3 linked regions of the Drosophila melanogaster genome follow. The protein of the gene in region 1 interacts with the protein of each later gene in a pairwise test. Each region holds a gene or a part of one and is shown on either strand. Other genes may lie near its edges.

The links.
Region 2: the proteins of Bap60 (region 1) and stumps interact in a two-hybrid assay, tested with the Drosophila melanogaster proteins (one study listed by BioGRID).
Region 3: the proteins of Bap60 (region 1) and akirin interact in binary tests that used the Drosophila melanogaster proteins (3 or more experiments, as listed by UniProt).

What each region holds. Positions count from the first base shown.
Region 1 is NC_004354.4:13,156,922-13,161,501, reverse strand, and holds Bap60 (brahma associated protein 60kD), read left to right. Parts: upstream 1-1,993; 5' UTR 1,994-2,128; coding exon 2,129-2,236; intron 2,237-2,304; coding exon 2,305-3,588; intron 3,589-3,648; coding exon 3,649-3,804; 3' UTR 3,805-4,057; downstream 4,058-4,580. Other genes in the region: CG12096 (uncharacterized protein), read right to left, coding at 43-412, 469-1,619. UniProt on the Drosophila melanogaster protein: Involved in the recruitment and site-specific anchoring of the Brahma complex at specific promoter sites.
Region 2 is NT_033777.3:14,589,713-14,594,650, reverse strand, and holds the start of stumps (stumps), read right to left. Parts: upstream 3,032-4,938; 5' UTR 2,682-3,031; coding exon 2,642-2,681; intron 2,370-2,641; coding exon 2,131-2,369; intron 1,991-2,130; coding exon 1,809-1,990; intron 1,648-1,808; coding exon of another isoform or gene 1,645-1,647; coding exon 1,436-1,644; intron 1-1,435.
Region 3 is NT_037436.4:7,367,966-7,374,242, forward strand, and holds akirin (akirin), read left to right. Parts: upstream 1-1,877; 5' UTR 1,878-2,103; exon of another isoform or gene 2,104-2,219; intron 2,220-2,374; exon of another isoform or gene 2,375-2,585; intron 2,586-2,834; exon of another isoform or gene 2,835-3,060; intron 3,061-3,741; 5' UTR 3,742-3,869; coding exon 3,870-4,107; intron 4,108-4,197; coding exon 4,198-4,554; intron 4,555-4,615; coding exon 4,616-4,626; 3' UTR 4,627-5,746; downstream 5,747-6,277. Other genes in the region: Sh3beta, read right to left, coding at 1-19, 925-969. UniProt on the Drosophila melanogaster protein: Molecular adapter that acts as a bridge between a variety of multiprotein complexes, and which is required for embryonic development and for normal innate immune response.

The DNA.
Region 1 (4,580 bases):
GGACTTGCAATCGAAGGCCGCAAATGCCTGCCATCCGGCTTTCTATGCGTTGCCCTGAGGTTCAGTGGCTACATCGAGATCCGCCTGGACGTGATAGGGTCCCTCGTTCACATAGGCCGTGAAACGGATGGTTTCGGTGGGCGAAAACTCAGCGCTAGCGGACAGAATCTCCATAATTTGCCACTTCATATACTTAATGTCCCTGTGCAGATCCTTTTGACGCGAAAGAAGGAACTCCACAGCACCGCCGGTATTCTTTAGAGCTACAATGCCCCAGTTGTACTTACAAATGGTTTTCAAGAACGACAAGGCGGCCATTTGAAGATCGGGGAACGGAGTGTTTATCAGGTCCATAATGATATTAGCATGCGCTCCCCCAGCGAAGCACTCGTACCAGTTTTTACCAATGTTACTGAAAAAGAAGAGAATCATTAGAAGAAAAACTTCAATTATAGAGTTAAGCATTACATGATTTCTGTGGCAGGCGGCGTCTTGAAGTCATAAATCACATCCAGGGAGTTGAGCAGCCTCTTCTTGATGTGCGCCGATAGCTTCTTAGTATGCGAGCCATACTTCTTAAAGGACTTCTCCATGGCCCCGCTAAAGTGCATGTTCAGCAGTATCTTGCCCTGTGGAGTAGTGGCCAAATTGGCAAGCGTATCCATGGCAGTGGGCAGAATACTCTCATCCTCCGATTGAAGCTGCATGAACAAGCAGGCCAGCATGTGCGGGTAGCCGCCAATGATTTTCAGAGGCTGGTATACGGAAATTTTGCCGAAAAACTTCATAATGCTGGGAACGAGCAGGGCGTCTAGCGGATGCTCTTCGACGCGTTGGACCCGATAGCTGATTATATCCAAAACGCGACGACGTTCCATGTAGGACAGACCATGGTTTTGTTCGGCCAGTGGCACTAGGAGCTCCATTACGCTAGCCTGCAATAAAACATCGTCGTTATCCAGTTCGCTGAGAGCCGCATCCAGAATAAATGTAACGTCACTGAGTAAGGTGGCACTTTTCTTGGCCAGGACCACTGCCAATTCGTAGGCGCGACAGCGCACGATCTCATTTTGCTTTAGGAGCTGTACTAGCTTTGCCTGCACATCGGCATTGCTGATTCGCTGAGGCAGCACGATGGATAGGATATTGATGGCCAGAGAGGTACTCTGCGTATCCGGTTGTTTCAGCTCGTCCAAGATGAGGAAAATAAGCTCATTGTTGGGCAGGGTGAGAACCTGACCGACGGTCAACTGGCGAAGCAGCTTCTTGAACAAACTGGCCAACACCTGGGCACGCAAGGCTGGATTCGAGTGGGTCAAGCCACGTCTTAGCAGACTGGACAGCTGCTCGTCGGCGGTGTCCATCGCCAGCTGATCAAGGCAGTGGCACAGCAATTCCAGGGTCACGTCCACGGCCTGATCCTTGGGAACATGGGAATCCGCGGCGGGATTGGCGCAGTCATACAATTGGTCCGTGGTCAGCAGGCGTTCAATTATTTGACGCGGAAGAGCCGCCTCCTTTGCGATGGCTGAGTTCATGGCGGTCAGCGCATCCAGCCTTTGTGGCTTCGACTCCAGAGCCTTTAACTTGGTGACCCACCAATTGTCTTCCATTTCCATTTGTTTTCTGTGTTAAAATGACAGTCGGTTTCAAACCTATCGTTCTTCGATTTCAGAAGACGTTACTTGTCCGAACTTATTGGCGACTATCGATATTGCTTATGTTTATGGCTTGACACTGCAACTATCGAGCGTTTGGGCAAACCAATGTTTTCGATCGATAGTAGCAAGTGCTAGTATATTCCTTATCGTATTGTTTGTTTGTTACAAATGTCTTGAAAGTTTTTAAGTATATTTTCAAAGCCAACTATATAGCTGTAACTCTATTGAAATGAATAACTTCGATTAAAGTGCAAAATGATAGCCGCAGCCCTGCCAAACGTTGTAATATCTATCGCCCAGTCGACCACCACCAGTAATAGTGCATCCCTGTTTTGACGCCATTTTACAGGCGAAATTGTGTGTGTGTTTGACGCGTTGTTGTATTGAAACAAAAAGGCAGAAATTTTCCTTCGTCTGCAAAGGGCAATTGTTTACGGCTGGAAAAAAGGGAGGACTTCGTAGCAAAGATGTCGCAACGCTTTGCACCTGGCCAAGCGCCGGTGCAGTCGCGTTATCAGCCACCACCACCGGCGCCCGGCATGCGTCCCTATCCGCCGCCAGGCGCCTCTTTTCCAGTGAGTTTTCCACGCATTATCCAGCACCTACCGTTTCAATTAAGCATGTACAATCTTATCCGCAACAGCCGCGCGGGTTTCCCCTGCATCCGAACACTACTCAACCTGTTCCCGGCACGGCGAACGTGGCCGGGGTACCGGGAGTTCCTGGAGTACCCGGCGTACCGGGACCATCGCTACTGCAGCGCGCCGCCCAACAGCCGGGCTTTCAGAGCAGCCTTCGCGGTACTGGAGCCGGAGGTGGCGGTGTTGGATCCGGCGGAGGCAGCAAGAGGTCAAATGAATCCCGCAGTTTGGGTGGCGGTGGTAGCAAAAGTGATTTTGCGACGGCCAAAAAGAAAAAGAAGCTGGCCGAAAAGATACTGCCGCAGAAGGTGCGGGATCTGGTGCCCGAATCGCAAGCGTACATGGATCTGCTGACGTTTGAGCGAAAACTGGATGCCACCATAATGCGCAAACGTCTGGACATCCAGGAGGCCCTCAAGCGCCCCATGAAGCAGAAGCGCAAGCTGCGCATCTTCATCTCGAACACATTCTATCCCAGCAAGGAGCCCACAAATGATGGCGAGGAGGGCGCCGTTGCCTCTTGGGAATTGCGGGTGGAGGGTCGCCTGTTAGAGGATGGCAAGGGCGATCCCAATACAAAGATCAAACGCAAGTTTTCGTCGTTTTTCAAGTCGCTGGTTATCGAGCTGGATAAGGAACTGTACGGTCCGGACAACCATCTGGTCGAGTGGCATCGCACTCACACCACCCAGGAGACGGACGGGTTCCAGGTGAAGCGGCCGGGCGATCGCAATGTGCGCTGCACCATCCTCCTGCTGCTTGACTACCAGCCGCTGCAGTTCAAGCTGGACCCGCGACTCGCCAGGTTGCTGGGCGTACACACACAGACCAGGCCGGTGATCATATCCGCCCTGTGGCAGTACATCAAGACGCACAAGCTACAGGATGCCCACGAGCGGGAGTACATCAATTGCGACAAGTATCTGGAGCAGATATTCAGTTGCCAGCGGATGAAGTTTGCCGAGATACCGCAACGCCTCAATCCGCTGCTGCATCCGCCCGATCCGATTGTGATCAATCATTTCATTGAGAGCGGTGCAGAGAACAAGCAGACTGCCTGCTACGACATCGATGTGGAGGTGGATGATACGCTCAAAAACCAGATGAACAGCTTCCTGATGAGCACTGCGAGCCAACAGGAGATCCAGGGGCTGGACACCAAGATCCACGAGACGGTGGACACGATCAACCAGATGAAGACGAACAGGGAGTTCTTCCTAAGCTTCGCCAAGGATCCACAAATGTTTATTCATCGCTGGATCATCAGTGAGACGAGGGATTTGAAGGTTAGTTCTTTTTTTTTCTTTTTTGCCTCATACCGTTGTCTAAACCTTTCGTCCTTTCAGCTGATGACCGATGTAGCTGGCAATCCGGAGGAGGAGCGTCGGGCGGAGTTCTATTACCAGCCATGGACGCACGAGGCCGTTTCGCGCTACTTCTTCACCAAGGTCAACCAGAAGCGGGCCGAATTGGAGCAGGCGCTGGGCATACGCAACGGCTAGGTGAATGATGAGCTGATCATCTCCACCAGCCAATTCGTGGAGTCCACCGTCAAGAGACCTCCATAAACCGTGCGCACGGCAAACTCTTTTTCCTTCGCCAGTTTAGTTTAAGCTTAAAATATTTCCTTTTTTTCCGACAAGCCGAACTCCATCCCGTTCCAAAACGAAAATCCCCTTTGCAGTTGTCCCAAATACCCACATCCAGCACAAATATTGGACTTAACTGTAAGCTAATAAAATGGCATACAAATATAAAACTGTCTATAAAATTTGATTCGGTTCACTTTTAGAAACACTAAAGTTTAATTTTTATTACGAGTGATTTCAGTTGACTTTATATATATTTAGCCTTTTGATACTTTTGGGTTCCCTTTAAATTTTAGAAAATGCATTTGTTGGTTAATTGAGATTTTAGAATCACTTGTAGCCTTACGATCCTATACGATTTCATGTTAACTGATTGTTTCTAAAATACGTTTTGATCTACATTTGGATATATTATTGTAGGGTTTTAGCTGACCAATCTAACAATGTGAAAGGCCAGCGTTTGAGTCATCTCACAATATTTCATAATTTATACTTTAAAATTATGTGTTTTAGTAAGTTCCATAGTTCTGCAATCCTTTGATGCTGTTGATTTAAAATTGTATAAAACGCATTTTCAGTTGATGCTTCTTAACTTAACGATTTACGCACAAGCTTTAAACGGTTTAGACTACAACACAGGATTAATATCACTAGTAAACTAAAGACGGACTCGGATTACTACGTCTCGG
Region 2 (4,938 bases), on another chromosome or scaffold:
GGCGAAAGATTCGAATGGATTGCAAGTGACCATAGCGATAAGTGTGTCGAATATGGTGGGTGATCATTTTTAGAATAAGGCGCTGTGGGCAACCGTTATTATAATTGATAACAATAACAATAAGGGAAAGAATCTATTGTTTTTATAATAGTAAAAACTTTAATGGCACACTTCTAATAAATTGCGGCACTTCTAAAGCAGATCTACATGCTCTGAATTTCTATGTATGAAACACTCCTCAGTATCTCATCTACTACTTATTTCTCATCTCTTTTGAGACTCGAAAATCGCGCTGGATTTAAACGTCACACGAAGTGCCTTAAATCAACTTAAATCATCAGATGTCATGAAAGCGAAACCTTGAAAACGCTTATGATGAATACACAATGATCGTGCAAAGGAGTCCTGAGCGACTCATAAACCATAAACCTGTGACTTTTGCTGGACATACGAGTAAACCAGGAGGCCTTTCCATCTTGCATGCAACTGCCCACTTTAGGGGCATCCATCACACGGAGGACTGTCAATGTCAGGCCAGTCGCGAAATGTCAGTCAGCCAGGAAGGCGCGTTGCCAACAATCAGCTATATATACGCTCGATCGGCTATATGCGATCCCCTCATTACGCCACAAAATCGAAGGCAAACAGAAGCTCCACTCCACTGCCGGGGAAAAACAATGCCAAAACAAAGATTGGCGACGCTCTGGCGACAAAATACTATTACAATTATCACTTGCGTAAACATTGCAATGTTGTTAACGTGGTTTAAATGTGAGGGCGAACTGAAAGGGGCTGGGTAGTGGACCCAATTCCATGGCGCCTGCCAGGCGAAAAATGAAAAAACAAATTCCGAAGAGCTGGCAGTTGCGCTTAATATGCAAACGTGATGCAAAGCTGCGAGGTAAAGGTTGTTGGGCAGCCACTGGAGGAGTCAACAGGGGGGAAAACCCCAGAAGGGAGGACTTTTGGGGCATGAAAATGGAGTAGCAGGCAAAGGGGAGTGAACGCCTGACAGCCGCCAAAGTGCAAAAATGCGAACGCGAAACGAGGGCAGGGAATGCAATTTGCAACCACTTTGTCTTTGTCACTGCGTCGGCTGAACTTGTGGGGCATATTAAAATAACTAAAAGTATATTAGACTCGAGTAAATTAAATAACACAGCAATAAGCAGATATTTAAAAAATAGCTCTCAAAGAAAATTAAAAATTTGTGAGCCAAAATTTATTCCTTTAGGGACATAACAGCCATATCCTATAATCCATATACGTTTGCTGTCAACTATCGACTTTTCTATTATCTGAAAACTTTGCTAAACGATTTCCATTTACATGGATTACTTCTACTTATTGAGCCCAGATTAGCATAGGAATTCGCGATTGCCCCGTGGCATACTGAGCAGATGGGAAATGCAAGTGTCGTGGAACGTCAACTCACCTCTTCGTCGATGGGAACTGCCGCGGAATTTGTTTGGCGAGAGGAGCGGCGGTCGAGGCGCCATCATGCTGGGCACCTCATCCGGAGATCCCAGTCCCATTGCTCCAGAGTTCTGTTGATGTTGCTGTTGATGCTGATGTTGGGCCCAGTTTCCCAGGGAATGGCGACGAGTTCCGCCACTTGGCAGGGTGTGATGTCGATGCGATTTGCTACTGAGGATTGGTCGCAAAGATGGGGGGTGGGGGGAGAAAAGAAAGGGCGCACGATTAGCATGGGCGGAAAAGGGGGCGGTTCGAAACTGTCAACAGCTGCAATCGCATCCTGTCATCACCTCACCCTCCCCATTAAATGCTCGATTCTGGGGATTGCTCACCTTGTTGGCGATGTCAGCGGATTGAAGACCTCGTCGTGATCCCCAGCTACGGATGCACCTCCTCCTCCGGGACACTGGGAGCTGTGGGTCTCGTTGCAAGAATTCAGGCGTTCCCGGAACTCTGAGTGCGAATTTGCAGATCGCTGGCGGTACATGTTCATCGTCTGCAGTTCAATCGCGTGCTGAAATGCGCAAAACGGAAGAGGACGGCACATTAGAAGGGCTCACTCGACTCCACAGGAAGTGGCAGATCCAGCAGATAAATCAGAATCAGTATTCCGAAATCGGAGATCGGAATATGCTCTATTAAATCGCTACTCACTTGCGGATAGCCGGCGAGGGAATTGAAGCTGCCCCGCGGACTTCCTAATGCCATGGTAGCCGTGGTATCCAGATTGGCGGATGTGATCAGTCGCATCTGTTCCGGATTGGTCATCACCAGCGGCCGGGGGCTGCTGCCCTTCGAGTTGCGCCGCTTGAAGATCGAGAATCCCCGGCTGGAGGACTGCGAGTCCGGGGTGCGCGGCGACTTGGTTTCATTGCAAAAGTAATACGGGTTGTCTGGGGAGTTCAATTGCAATAGAATGAATGAGGAATGGAGTTAGTTTTCTGATTTGAACTTATCAAAGTTTGAGGATGTGCTTATAAAGTATAATAAATAACATTTATTTAATATCATATATGTACGTTTTTAATCTGTATGAATCTCTGTATCTTTGTATAATCTTTCGCTTTTGCTCATACTTTCTAACTTAAAACTTTGATATTTGTTACAATTCTTTTCGCATAAAGAAACTTATAAAGTCTTTAAGAAACTCTTTCACTCTTTTTACCTGAGAAGAAGGTGTTTGTGTTATCCACAGTGACAAACATCTTGAGATCCTTTATGCAGTGAATTTTTCCTTAGTTGATATGCGATTCGCAGAGTCTACCACAATTCAGAGCTCTGATTTGCGATGCATTTGCACTTTCACTGGCTGCGCATGCGCACGCGCCAAAAGTTGCGCACAGGGCGCGAATTCGAGAAACCGTAAACGGAAATCACAACGGGGAGTGCCACAAATGGCAACTTAACAAATTGTCAGTTTGAAAAAACGGGGCAAATAAATTCAAAATTCAAATTTAGGCGGCAATGCAAGTTCGTGATGGTTCGACTTAATATTTCACTTCAGTTCACTTGAGTTCGCGCAGTGCGTGCGTCTGCATTGACATCCCGAAACGGAATAAATTCTAAAACTTCAACGAGAACAAAACACTCCGCGCCGTCTGCATTTTCCTCTGCCACCGCCGATGTCTCTGTCGACGTCTCTGCCGACGCAGAGAATCCCTCCTCGTGTTTTGGTTTTTATTTACCATACGCGCACTTCTTCATCCATTCCCATTCTCAGCGTGCACTGATAAAAATAAATATACCGAAAAATCCCACCTTCTCATATTAATATTTTCTTTCGAATTCTCTAAGCGAAACTGTTAGGCATAATTTTCTTAATAAATTCAGATACAAAAAATTACTTGAAATAAGTACCACAAGATTTTGAACTGGATACATTAATTAAATAAAATAATAATATTTAATCGGTAAATTTGATTTCTTTATGTCTGTTTCTGTGTCTTCACTAATAAATTTGTACATCATTTTGAGAGATCAATCAATTCTCATCTCTTATTTTCTCACAGTGCAGCGACATCGGCAGCAGCATAAAAACATTGCATCTCTCCCTCGCACTCTCACCCCATCTCGCTCCCGCCCGCGCACGCACACACGCATACGGGATCAGTGTTTAAATATGGTTGCCATATTGCCATCACCCACTCGGTACTCCCCCACCCCTAGAAACCGATCGGCGATCAGGAAAACTCACTTTTCCTCGACTACAACGACTTTGTTGTTGTACCTGCGCATGTTTTTCTTTTGCGTGCGCTTTTCGCATGATCAAATTATCATCGCCAGCGCGCTCCGAGTCCATGATTTCCATGATATCCATGATTCCCTGTCCTCTGTCCCCTGTCCACTGTCCCTGTCTCCTGTCCCTTTCCCATTTTCCATCCGTGAGCGTACGTTTTGTCTTGGTCTCGTCGTGCATATTTGATGAGTTCCGATAGCAGAAATAGAAGACCCATCTAGCATATAAGCCAACTTGATGTGGCGCACATAGCATATACCATCATCATATATATTGTAGCATCTGAGGTGAGCCCCCCGGTTTAGTATTCCCCATGTTCTATCAGTGTCAAAGTTTGAGTTTGTGCGCCGAGTGTTGTCTGTGGTTGGGTTGGTCTTCAATTCGATGATGTTCACTGTCAGGAAACATTTATGAGACGTTTTTCGGGAGGGACCATGAGAACTCACCTTCGCAGAGCGGTGGGAGAATTAATCTTCCAAAATATCATGGGAAAAAATACAAAAAAAAAAAATTATACAAAGAGTTTTAGGATGTTTGATGATACAGATGCCAGAAATTCATCAAAAATATGATGATTACTTACGCTGTATATTAATATATTAGCATAAAGTAAACTCATATTTGGAGCATTTCTTCAATTGTCCTGAAGATACGCAATATTTGCCTTTCGACTTTATGGCAAATATGAAAATTGTCATCAATGTTGGGCCGAAAATAGAAGGCCATAATAGAAGCTATGGCCAGGCGACATATTCCAGCCACATTAGGGGAAACTCGAGAGCATCAAAGGCAGAAAAAAAAGAACGCGCATCGGAAAAGGCACATTAAAAATTGCAGCCAGGGGAGAGCAACAATTGTGCTAAGGGAACACATTTTCACATTTTTCCCCAGTGCAACTAGGAAAAAAAAAACTGAAACTGAAGCAACAACTGAAGTGGCAAAATGCTAGAGAGTCCATGTGGTCTGTCCGTGGAATTCCTAAGTGGACTGGGTCTAAAATCGGGCCTGCCATCGATACTGGGCCAACAACCAAATAACCCCTACCACACAGATGCCCGGCATATTGGGACCTATGGAAAAATCGTAAAACTCGGTACCCGAGCAGAAATTGCACATTTCGTAGTCCATAAAGGCGAGAGTCTGCCATCGAGGGTTGATCTTTGAGTGGCGGCTCTCTGCGGAGCAAGTGACTCTGCAACGTTACACTGGCAGAAATAACTTTAATG
Region 3 (6,277 bases), on another chromosome or scaffold:
GCTGCTGGCGCTTCTTCACCTGTAAAATTGGATTTCGACGGTCAGTGAAAGCATTTAAATTTGAAAAGAAAGTTAAAAATTAAAGTATATAAAATACCTTTAACATGTATCGTTTTGTTCAGTGTAGCTACCTTTGACAACGCTGTTAATTACAGCGATGACAAATCGCTAATGAAGTGTTACCGGCAAGCCCAAACGCACACAAGCGCACACAAAGCCAACTCCCCGCCGATATAAACATATGTACGTAAAAAGAACGCCAGAACCACGCGATATGATAAGGCTAATTAAAATGGTTTGTTGCACCCCAGCATTTATCTTACGATAAGAATATGTGTTTCCCAACGCTTTTTTAAAGTGTACAAAGACAGGACAAAAACAAATAATTGTGAACCGTACAATGACCGTTATGTTTTTGTTCTTATTGGAAGAGGAAGATTGCCAATTGAACAAAGGCACCGAAAGAGTGAGAGGGGGAAGTGAATCACCCCTCACGCATGTACACACACACACACATGCACACGCACCCACGCAACTGCGATCAATGGAAATCCCTCTCTTCCATGAACAATTTACAGTTCACAGTGGAATGAGCTTATATGGGCAATGAAATGTATGTTTGTTCTGCTTCTTGCCACCACTAACACTCGCACACAAGGGCACTCACGAAAATACCCACTTGTTTTTCTTTGACTGTACAGACATACAGACTTACATACCACACACTACATCATCATCATTGTCCAACTCACGTACATACACACAAAGACGAAACGCAGCAGAAGAAATAGAATTTGCAATGCGTTCGTCACCACTTTAGTTTGCTTCTTTTCCTTTTTATCTGTTTGTCGCTAATACCAGGGCCAAACATTCCAATAACATGACACTATTTCGGTTTTAAGCCCGCCACGCCCACAAACTCACCTCCTTATTGCCGGACATGCCGCTGACGTAGACTTTCAAGACCATTTTCGCAGATTACTGTGTCCTCGCACCGCAAATGAAATAATATTTTGCAACTAAAATCTGCTGGCTACTTTCACGGCGATTAAAAATATTTATAGATCTTTTCTTTTCCTGCTTTCTTCCGTCCTGCGCCCCTACGTAATGTTTTTCCACTGGTGACGAAGGCACACGCACTGGGCAAGGTCGTTGGTTTTATTGGCTGTAAAAACGGCAAAGACGCGGATAAAAAAATTGCCTGGCGACGCTTATAAAAGTGCAAAAATATTTGATATCAGGAGTGGAAAATATTTCCTACTTTGTCGTTGAATTGAATGGTGGGACCGCGCATTGACGGCTATAGAAAACCTTCCGGCTTATCAAATATACTAAATATGATGCTTGATTAAAATACTAAAAACTTTGAACTTAAGTGATATTTCAAAATTAAATATTTTTAAGACAACTTAAATTTTATTATGCTCCCATGTAAGGTTTTCATTTTTTAAACGTTCTTCGATTAATAATCGTAATAATAAAATAATAATTTATAAAAAGCATAAGATAGGCTTTTTAAGGTTTTTTAAAAGATAGAAGAAAAGGATTCTTATTATAGAACAAATTATTTTTAATTTGGCGTCGATGAGTTAGCGGCTTCAAGGAACGGTGGAATTTAGAACATGAGGGTGTTTTTTATTTATTAATTTTTTGTTACTTGGAGTTGAATTCCATAAAAATAAAAATGCAATAATGCTAACTTTCTACAAACGACTTAAGGTTATAGGACTCAAGAAAGTACATAGAATATGCAATTGAAAAATGTTCTCCCCAGACTTTTCGGTTATTTGAAGTTTTTGCTATATTTGGTAGAACCATAAAGTATTTTTTGGTATAGATCCGTTAGCAGGGCAACCAATATTAGCGGTCGCCATGCGGTCACTCTGTTCACGTCCCGTCACGCAAGCATCGTCGTCCATTTTTGCTAAGAAGCGAGACGAAAATTTGTAAATTATATCTAGCGAGTCGCCGAGGACGAACAACTATTGACAGTGCATTTCAGTGGCCTTTGGAATACTGCTCAAACAACCAGCAAGCAATAACATTACTTATATCTAACCGAAAACCTAAATTAATCACCCAAACTGAAGTACGGACGTGAATGTAAGTGGGTATGTGCCAGCGGACTAGTGGCACAATAAAAAAGTAAATAAAGCGCGTGTGAAGTGGTGCAGAAAGCAAAAAAGCAGTCGGAAGGAAAAATCAAAATACGCATTAATGTAAGTGCGATTGTTGGAAAAGCTGTTTAACTTTTTGTTCCTCTGAAAAGCTGATAATGATATGCGATGCGACCATTTTTAAAATTTCATGAAATCAACATTCCAACTCACAACGGTGTGCGTGTGCGTTTCTTTGTGTGCGTGCGTGTGCAGGCTAGAGTGGGACAACCAGTGTGATCGCTTTGGCTGCTGCCATTTCGTTTGCTTTTTTTTAAACTAATCTCTGGCATTTGTCACGTAAAAGAGTATAACGTTAAACCCAAAAACGTTTTGTATATGGCTTTAAATATTTAATAATTGTGGGCAGAGACAGCAACACCAGCAGCAGACGCATACACACGTGTTGCGGTTTATCGAGAGGGCAGTGTGCGTGTGTTAGTGCGGAAAACAGCTGGTACAGCTGCCGCTGCAGCGACGAAGAAGAAGAAAAGAAAGAAAGGGGAAGAGTGAGAAGAACACGCATTATTATCCTGCGTAGTTTTCTTTTATCGGTGGTTGTTCTGCTATTGGGTTACAGTTTACACTTTTCTCTGTTTTCTTTATTTTCCCTCTGCATTGCTATGCATTTTGCCTTTGCGTGGTGGTTTTTTTTATTTTCATTGTCGGTCGTCCTTTAATTGCGCTGCGCCACTTCGTTTCGTCGCTTTCTTTGGCTGGTTTCTCCTTCTCTTCGGAGTTTCTGGATTCGTATTCCGATTCGGTATCGCCCTTTTCCTGCGACAACAGCAGCTGGGTGCACGGTATCGGAGCTGTCGGCGATAGCCGAAAGAAGCTAGAAACCCCAAGGAAGCCAACATCCTTTTAATTGTCGTGGAAACTATAATAGTCTCATAAAAATTAGGTTTTTAAAATGGTTTTGTCATTCTATTCTAGAAAAAGCTATGAATATAAGAATATAACAATATGTTTAATTGCTTACTAATTTTATTGAACAATATAATTTAATCGTGACGAAATGGGGGAAAAAAAACATTTTTTTGTTGTCTTGAATTTTTTTTCCTCTCTTGTCATGATTATTTAGGTAAAACGGACGTCATCAAAGTCATTAAACTTACGCGAACTTCGCATTTAAAAGTTTTTTACTGGCATTTCTATTTTTAATAGCTTTCTGGGGAAAATATCGGATAATAGCTTTTCAAATTATGCATTGCTAGCAACTTTGACTAGCGAAAAGTATTTACTAAAAATTTTTGTACCTTCCTATTTTCGGCGCTCTTTTTAAGCAAAGGCCCTTGTTTTGTAGCGTTGAAGCCTCAAATTATTTCCAAAATCACGCCCCATAAGCGATAAGATAAGAGAGCGTACAATTGTTGCCCACGATACATACAAGGCGAGAAAAAGTCCAAATTGCCAGCATTGGCGGCCATAAATCGCTGCACCATTTTCTTTTATCGGCTGCGTGTGCGTGAGTGCACGCCTGTGAATCCTGTTTTTTCCTTGAAACCAGTTTGCGTCCGTCTTTTCTTTGCCAGCAAGGTGTTCACTTCACCTTACTCATTCATTGTTTGTTTGCCCATTGCAGCCGACGCTTGATCTTCCATCTGCAGCATCCATCATTTGGAATCGAGGCAATAATCAGCATCTACCGACAATCAAGCAAGCCATCTATCTATCAGAAGACCACCGGGTAGTAGAACCTCAATCATAGCGATGGCCTGTGCAACCCTGAAACGAGCCCTAGACTGGGAGTCGATGAACCAGCGGCCTCCGAAGCGCCGGCGTTGCAATCCCTTTGGCCAGGCTGGGAGCAATGCAGGTCCAGCGTCGCCATCCCGCGACGGTCCCAGCACCTCGGCTGGTCTGCCCCACACGCCCAGCAACCGATTCGCCAAGGATAGCACCGAACCTAGTCCGTTCAGTGAGTCGTCGCTGGCCAAAATGTCACCAGGTTAGTAAATCAGGTCGATGCTGGAAAAGGGACGTCGGATTCCTTTTATGCATATTACCTTAATACACCTTTCTTCTTTTCGAAACACAGACAAAATGGCCGAGAGCTTGTGCAATGAGATCAAGAGACTGCACAAGCGCAAACAGCTGCCGATCACTTCGTCGGCCTTGGAACGCATGCAGGATTCGGAGTCCAGCGGATCGGAGATGGGTCCAGAGAGTCCGCGCCGCCCGGACAGTCCACAGAACCTGATGCGCCACGGCGAAAAGGCCCTGTTCACGTTCAAGCAGGTGCAGCTCATTTGCGAGAGCATGATCAAGGAGCGCGAGAATCAGCTAAGGGAGCGCTACGAGTCCGTGCTGACCACCAAGCTGGCCGAGCAGTACGATGCCTTTGTCAAGTTCACATATGATCAGATACAGCGTCGCTACGAGGCAGCGCCTAGCTGTGAGTTCAAGTTACCATCGGTCATGGTTATAGTGCTAATTACATTATATTTTTATTTCAGACCTGTCGTAAAGCTGTGTACACAGCTGTAGCCTCAGAAAGAAGAAATTAATAATTGCACTACGATCTTATGTGACGGTAGATCTACCGCGACAACAACAGCCCTCATAAACTATAACAAACAACAAATAAGGAAACTAAAGCAAACGCAAAACAAACCAACAAAAAAAAAAAACCTAAAAAGCAAAAAACCTAAAAACAAACAAAAAAAAAAAAACAAACTACAACATACATCGTGTTTAATATATTTTGAAATACACGCGAAGAAAACGGTTATAGTTTATGCCTAGATTTACATATATATATTGTATCGGTTAGCAGCAAAGGGATGAATTATTTAAAAGCAAGCAAAAACCACAAAAGAGAGAAACCAACAAACCAACTTGTTAAATTTATGTTTTTCACATAACGCAAATTCTAAATAAAATGACAAATATCAAATTATGAACTATATGAACTATAAGCACACCGCCACTGCAGACATATACATATGGGTGCATCCGTAGAGAGAACGATTCAATGAAACCTCAAACGTAGCTTCGTACATAACAGACCGACAGAATTGGCAAATATATAATGTTAGGCACATGATGTAGCATATAAGGTATGATGTAAAACCTATCAAACTACATATATTGTTTTTTTGGAAATTGTAATTTATGAAGCGAAGCAACAAAGATAACTCACAACTCATGAAGAACACTTTTCATAGTTTATTTTTGCATATTAGTTGTAACACTAAGGCGAGAAACGAACGCTTGAATTTGCCTATTTTCTCGAGTATCGTTTGTTAATTGTTTCTTCCTTTGATGCGAATTATTGCAAAGTAATGTAAACACACAAAACAATTGAAATGTTTCGATTTGCTTTACACCATACAAAAATGAATAACGAAAAGAAAAGGCAAACAACAAAAAAGGTATAAAAGTTATTCATTAAGTTAAATTGAACGCTTTCTTATAAAATACGCTTGACAGAAGATGTTTCATGTTCATTGCAATTATTTTTTCACACCTTGAAGAATATATACGAGAATATATGATATATATATATATATATATTTTTCAATTACCGCAATCATACATACTACTTTATATTAGTAATTTAAACTTAAAATTAGTAAAGAAATGCCATTTTTATATTAAAACAAACAAAAATAAAATGATGAATTGTAGATGCCCGCTGGTCTTTTCTTTTTAAAGCTTTTTATTCTGTTTGTGAAGCGAACTCTTAATTTCATCCGTTTATAAACCACAATATTCTTTTTTTTATACCAACCCGTATTATCCGAATAAAACTCAATTGGTTCTGGTTGCTCCAAATCCAGCTAATGCTAAATGATTAACCAGGTTTTTCAATATAATTTGCGAATCTAGCAAAACTGCCATAGGTGGGGAAAAGACTGAGCAAAATGAGAGATACCTTTTGTGCAAAACTTTCCATTTGTGAATAAAATTATGAATAACCTTTACAGTGGCTTCTCCAGACTCTGAGAATATTCATTTTGATTTATTTAATGTGTTTGTGCGTTCAACAGAAACTTTCCAAACTTAACACTAGTTAACTAAAAATACGCTTGATTCACATGCTTACAATTACATAATAATGCATTAAAAAGTCTTCAATAATAAATACATTTAGTTCAAAACTCAATTGAACGGAA